Caenorhabditis elegans: one gene and its partner. The protein of the gene in region 1 interacts with the protein of each later gene in a biochemical or structural test. Each region holds a gene or a part of one and is shown on either strand. Other genes may lie near its edges. The genes, in order: nlp-23 and frpr-16.

Region 1 (3,054 bases):
ATTACGGTGCTTGTTGCCATTTGAAGGAACTCGATTTTGGGAATTTTTGAACTTATACTTTCAAAATATCCTCAAATGAATGAATTTTTTAATAAACTTTCGCGAAAGTTTTTCAATATTTTTTTGTGGCGGTTCAAAATTTTCGCATAAAAATGGCCTAATTCGGACGGAAATTGAAATTTTGTAACCTATTGGTTGCCTATCCGCTTGAAATTTTAAACTTAAAAAAACGATGTAAATGTGCAAATTGAGTCAATAATAAAAAAAAAAAATTTTTGGGGATTTAAGGCTAATTTACAAACAAACACATCTAGGTCTTTTTTCGAAAATTTGAACCGTCGTAAACACAATTTGATCGGTACCCTTTTCCTTTAACATTGTGTAAAGCTAACCTGAAGCCCAAGAGCTGAGGTCTGGACCAGAAGAATGTCCAACGCGAAGATCGTCAATCCGATGAAGACGATTATGGAACGCATTTCCGAGTTGGGAAAGTTCGAGAATAAAAAAGAATAAAAAACGGGGGTATAGTGAGCACAACTCGATCGGCCAGAATTTATATGCTTTTTGCTCTGTTACATCTAAGGCGGAGCAAAACGGTTAAACGACCGGAACCGGTGAATGTTTTTTTTGGAAAACGTTGCTCTCGGTTTTGTGAACTCATAAAGTAACATGCGAAAAATTGCACAAAAACTACTGCTTTACACCCACAATGATTTGTTCTCTGGAAACGTGGGTTTCAAATTAGAATGATAAAAGTTCCTTATTCTAGTGATCAGTGATGATTACTCATGTCTTTGCTATCATTTCATACAGATACTTTATTTGATTCACAAGTAAAAATTAATGTTTGTAGAAATTCCAAAAATTATTTACTCCGAGAAATCATTGCGGTAAAGAGGATAATAGCTCTCTGCAAATGGCATTGATCGCTTTCCGCGGTTCCATCCAGCTGCAAATGCACGCTTCCCTGGGCGCATTCCAGCTCTGCCAATTGCCATTGATCGCTTTGCTGGCCGGAATCCTTGACGACTGATATAAAGACGCTTCTCCATAGTTAGTGGCTCCGGTTCTTCATCGGCATAGATCTCATCTTCGTCGTTTGGGATAACAATCATAGGGGTCGCCAAGTCGACAGCATCATCTTGGTCTAGGTCATTAGAATCTAAAAGTTGGGATTCGTAGGAATCATCTTTAGACGTTGGATGTTCCTGAAATGTTCATTTGCTACAATTACATAAAATGATAAAATAAGTAGCTCAGTTCATATGAGCTCACCGAGTAAAAACCCAGCTCCAAAGCATGAGCTGAGACTCCAAGAAGTGCCATCCAAATGACGAGGTGAGCTGCCATTGACTTTGAAAGTGATATCAGGTGGGACTGAGGACATCCTTCTGCTCGTCTTTCTTTTTATAGCACCTATTAAGAAAACGTGGTCTTGTAGTCCGGAAAACTGACACTACGATATTTTGGAGGATCGGATTTTTACGAGTTTTTTAACGATTTCGTAAAGGGACTACACTTCTACAATAGAATACAACGACTATAGGTGTATCTAGGAACTAAAAACAATTTTTTTTGAGAAGTTTAGAAATTTGCTCATCTGAGCACATTTTGGGTACATACATTCAAAATTCCAATACCTCCTCATCAGTGATAAAAAGGTCAAATGCGGAAAAGCCTGGAAGAACTGCGGAAAAATTGCCACAGATTTGGGTTTTATAGGCGGCTAATTATAATTTAATTTTGGAATTGGACAATCTGATTTCCCTTCAAAATATTTTTTTTCTTAACAATTTACTGACGACGAGCTGAAGATGATACTATCCCACGTCACTGATGTTTTTCCAACTAGAAAAAAAAACGTTTCCATAATGAGCTGAACATCGATCAAAACAACAGGGTACCCCTCTGAGAATTTTTTAATTCAGCTTACACAAAAAAAAATTGCGAACCGGCATACATTTAGTACAGTTTTGAATAACAGTAGGCAGTGAGTTTTTGCATTTTTTGAATTTTTGAAAATTTTTGAAAAAAAAAAGGTTTCAATATTGTCAGTGCGATTACATATAGAATTTATTCAATTGTATGGAGACAATTTTTTGGAAGGCTAAAAGAAAAAGAGCAAATTTTAATCGGACCCATACGTGCCTTCAAACTTGGCACACTGGTAGTGGACACATGGCTCAACAAATTGATTTCAACAAAATTTTTTGAACTGACCTACATGTTATATTAGTAAATCTGACTTTATATTGCATAAAATCCCCGATCAAAATAGTTTGTGATTCATATTCACCCTGTCTGAAACTTCTTTCCGAACCATTACTCTCTGAAACTGGGCTCTAAAAAACTCTAAAAAACAGAACACGATTTCATTCCGGTAATCTGGCTGTGTTTGTACATAAAGTATCAGTGATGATGACGGTGAATATTACAAAGAGATCGATTCAAATTAGTCGGAGCAGGTTCTCTAGATTATATAGATTTCTGGAACGTGTTGTGGGAAGACCTCCTTCATGTCATTGCTTCTCTTTCCTGGCCGGAATCCTTGACGACCGTAGGCCATTGAGCGCTTTCCTGGCCGGAATCCTTGCCGTCCATATGCCATGGATCTCTTTCCCGGCCGGAATCCTTGTCTGCCGTAGGCCATTGAACGCTTGCCCGGACGCAGTCCCAATCTTCCCATTGCCATTGATCGTTTCATGATGAGATCACTGGAAAATCAGCAGGTTTTGTTTTGCACAAGCCAAACGAGGCTTCAAAGTTACCTAACATCCACAGTGTGAAAGTTGTCCATGCTCCGTTTTCCAGGGCGGAATCCGCTTCGTCCGAGAGCAATGCTTCGTTTGCCCATTGCTCCTTCAGTGAACTCTTCCTCTTGTTTCCATTCATCTTCATCTTCAGAGTCGTACAGTTCGGGAGAGTTCTCAAGGACAACCACATCGACAGCCTGAAAAACTTTCAAAGTAGAAACCAGTACAGATGCTACTGGCAAAGATCCACTAACCGATGATTCGTCAGGACGATAGACCTGAAGCGGAACTGCTTCAGAAT
Region 2 (4,131 bases), on another chromosome or scaffold:
TCCGTTTTCATCAAATTGTTAGGATTCCGGTAATCTGAATTCCACCTGTACTTTTTTTTTCTGAAGTGCAACTATATCTTCCTTCCTTCTAGAATCCTCGTATTTTGAAGCATTTTCTTTTTTGCTCCATTTCCAAGAAACTTCGTACCAATTTTTAAATCCACCCTTCCCATTTTTCCGATAACTCTTTTCGGAATCCTGCTCAATATTTCCTTATGTGACAGCTCTTCTCGTCTACAATTCCCCCAACGCATTCACTTCAGGAAACACGTCAATGTTCAAATTTTTCTTTTTGAAAGATTCATGTACTGCATTCCCCTTCTTCTTCATCAATTTTCTTCCTCGTTGCCACATGTGTTATCTTTTTACGAGCTGAAAATGAAAACGACACAAAAAAAGAAAAATAAGTATTTAGCAGAAACCTCCATGTCTTTTTTCTCTCTTTTTTCAAACATTTCAACTGTCAAAACTAACACTAAGATCCGTGAGAGAAAAAACAATGCGTCTTTTAGTGGAGAGCTCAAAAGTTCAAATTATCTCATTGAGTTCTATGAGAATCAACATTTTCCACGCCTGATTCTATTCAATAGTTTGATGTCAACAGATTTGTATAAGCCCTGAACGGCATACGTTCAGGATATATAAATCTTTTCAATCAAATTATGATCTCATTATTTCTCTTTTTTCAATACACATTCCGCTGTCCAGAAGCATTTTCTATATAACTATTAAACTCTACGATGTTTTTTCTTCGAATAAATTTTCAGTGTTTTTGAAGTGATTCTTTGACACGATTCTTGATCCCAACACGAGCTAGTTTTACACGACTTATTGTACCAATTTCAAGAGTTAGGTTAAGCTTCAATAAAATACAATTTTTTCGGAAAAAACCTAAATAAATTCTCCTTCCGGGAACTCTTTTCTGTATTTCTCACAATTTTTGCAACTGTGTTAAGCTCCCATCACTTAAGTGGTACTCGAGTAGAACAAAAGCATAACATAGTTACTTTAAGACCACATTGAAAAAATTATGGCTAGAACTATTATGAAAGGTTATTTCACTGGACTGCCTGTAAATAAATTAACGATGAATCTTAACAAATGCCGTTTCTTGATAAACGTTTTCGAATGGAAGTTTGCATTGTGCTCAGTTGGTACTAAATTATGTAGAGTGAATGTGAGTAAAGTATATATAAAACCCTAAAGTTCAATAAAGTTTCAATGGTGAAATCATTCGAAACTTCCACCTGAGTCATGATTGAATTGAATAAACAAATTATCGTAGTTTCAAATTATTAGATTATTAAAATCAATTCTCCATTCCCAATTTCCTTATAAAAGTCACCCCCGTACATATTCCATAAAGAAAATTGAAATTATAATTTCAAAACATTATTTTATTGAAATACCGTATTTCAAATTTCTAAAATATTCTGAACTTTTGTGCAGTCGTTTGAATATTCAATGCATCGTCATTTTTTGTTCCAAATTGAATCCTTATTCTGCTCAATTTTCTATTGGTCTCCTGGTCGTCTTCTAAGTACAAAAAGTTTCACCTTCTTCTTCTCCTTTTTCCACAACTCACACCTCTTGTGGATCCATGAATAAAATAAATTATCCCCTCCCTCAGCTGCCCATTTTCTAAAGCGCTATCCGTTTTTTCTTCGGTTTTTTCTTTCATTTCCGTTTCCACCCACCCAAACTTTCTTCCTTTTCTTACAGAATCTTCACACTTTTGAACACATTATGAATCGGTACGAGTTCTACGAGCTAAAATCATGGATGTATTTACCTGTAATTTTCATTGGACTTCTTGGAAACTTTGCATCATTTTTAGTTTATCGAACAGCGCCGATGAGAAAATCTACAGTAATCTAATTTCAAAGTTTTACAGAAAATTCAAAAAATTCTTTCAGGTTGGCACTCTTCTTCTTATTCTCTCACTCATTGACATTCTGCTGCTCATCCTGATAACTCCCATTTTTGTTCTTGTTTTTCTGCCACTCTGGTGAGTTTATTGAAAGTCTCTCGGGAATGTTTTTCACATCAAACATCAGATTTCAGGCAGGACCAATGGCAAAAATATTCGTTTCATATGAGCTTCTTTGCTTACAGTACACGATATGTTTATCCATTATGTATGATGACAAAATCATGTAGTTTATATCTAATGGTACTTATAACCATTGAACGATGGATTGCTGTATGTAGACCACTTCAGGTAAATTCTAAATTTTAAGTCTTGAATTTAAATTTGTATATTTTCAGGCAAAAGTATTATGCACAAACAGGAATACAATGAAAGCTGGAATTTTCATTATCATATTTTCCATAGTGTTTAATTTTCCAAGATTTTTCGATTATAAAATTGGGTAAGTTTTAAATATTTTAAAGTTTTTCATAAAACATACCTGCCTGTCTATCACCTAATTTCTGTGTTGCTAAACTCTGTGCTACCTAATCGCACAGGGTAGTTTTACAAAATTTTCATTACAATTGTTAACCTGATACGTTTTTTGGACAATTAAGGAGAAAATTTATTACGACGCTCGATTATTAATCTCAAATTTGATTTGCAGAGACGGGTATCTATCTGAAATGTGGATGTTGGATACAGAGAAACACTGGTGGTACTTCATGTTCTACTTCATCATATTATCAGTAATCTTCGATTACTTCCTTCCGTTCCTTATCATGACTATCGCCAATTATCATGTCATCAGAGCACTTCAAGAAAGCGACGAGGTTATCACAGGCTTGGCCGTTCAGAAGCGAAAAGATCAGAAAACAACTGTAATGCTGCTAGTGGTAACCATTTTCTTCGCGTTCTGCCATCTATTCTCAATGTTTCTCAAAGTTGCTGAAAGTATTTTTGGAGGATTCCTTACACAAACCGTAAGTTGTAAACTCCTGAACTATTGAATAAATAATTTATAAATTTCAGAGTTTCTACTGGGAAGTGTTCGCCGAGTTCACAATCTTTTTGATAATCTTCCATACGTCAAGCACTTTCTTCATATACTACGGATTTTCGGAGAAATTTCGAACAATATTCCATGACATCATCAGGTAACTAAATAAATAAACTTCACCCTCACTTCTTCAAAGTTGCACGTTCGCAATGTGAATTATAAAAAAGAGGATTAAAAGAAGTGAGGATTTCGACAAATATCTTAGAATTCGAATTTCATTCAATTTATCAACTATTTTCAGATGTCGCCAAAGGCTGGATGATGTAAAATGCTCGACCTACTTGCCAGTTAACTCATCTGGAGCTGTTTCTGAATCAAAAACAAGAAAAGCTCCGGCAATTGTTTAATTAGAAATAGACTCTTATTTGTTTGAATACTTGTTTTCTTTTTATGTTTTAGATATCTGGTCCCGGTTTTTGTCAAACAAACAATTATGAAACGGGTGAATGAATCTGTCATATTTCCAGTTTGTATTATGAACTTGAAATAATACCAATGAAAATGAAAATAGAGTTTTGAGAACTAATAATTCACATTCTCAGCCTGAAATATTAAAAAAATAGAAAAAAATTTGGCCGAATTTACAAGAAACCAGAAAAAGATATTTTGTGAACAGCAAGCACCTCTCCAGGCATTTGAAAAATTTTGCAGGATCTGAAAGTAATTTAAACAGATTCCAAATTATGGGAACTCTCGAAATATGATTTTTAAAAATTTTTCTGTAGTTCTGTTTTTCTTTTCGAAAACCAAATTTTTATTGTTTCTTTTCTGCGTCCTACTCCTCTTTGAGAAAAAACCACACAAAAAATTCTTTGAGACCCTATCAAATGTCAGAATTTGAAGACCCACTGTGAATATATGAGGCCCCCCTATTACCATCGTTTTTACAAAAAATTCATTCTAAATTCCACGAAATGCCATTTTCCAAATATTGCCAATTTGTCACAATTGGAAGAAGAGTACAACGACAAAAGACGTCACTCTTCAAAGGTGCTTCATCCTTTTTTCCTCAATTCTTGCTCATAATCTTCTGCCTAGCTTGTTCGTTTCTGCACTCACACGTGGTCATGGAGCCGCCCCCAATGAATTGGACGGAAGAAGGTATCAATTCATCTTCAAATCATCTTATTGTTTCTTCGGAGAGCACACACACACATCT

What was found.
Region 2: the proteins of nlp-23 (region 1) and frpr-16 interact in a test that uses a peptide from one of them, tested with the Caenorhabditis elegans proteins (one large-scale study listed by BioGRID).

What each region holds. Positions count from the first base shown.
Region 1 is NC_003284.9:2,341,589-2,344,642, forward strand, and holds nlp-23 (Neuropeptide-Like Protein), read right to left. Parts: upstream 1,372-3,054; 5' UTR 1,351-1,371; coding exon 1,276-1,350; intron 1,209-1,275; coding exon 870-1,208; 3' UTR 803-869; downstream 1-802. Other genes in the region: nlp-22 (Neuropeptide-Like Protein), read right to left, coding at 393-476; nlp-2 (Neuropeptide-Like Protein), read right to left, coding at 2,471-2,714, 2,769-2,950, 3,008-3,054.
Region 2 is NC_003280.10:6,028,798-6,032,928, reverse strand, and holds frpr-16 (G-protein coupled receptors family 1 profile domain-containing protein), read left to right. Parts: upstream 1-1,722; 5' UTR 1,723-1,746; coding exon 1,747-1,869; intron 1,870-1,916; coding exon 1,917-2,008; intron 2,009-2,064; coding exon 2,065-2,221; intron 2,222-2,268; coding exon 2,269-2,372; intron 2,373-2,579; coding exon 2,580-2,895; intron 2,896-2,944; coding exon 2,945-3,069; intron 3,070-3,213; coding exon 3,214-3,319; 3' UTR 3,320-3,438; downstream 3,439-4,131.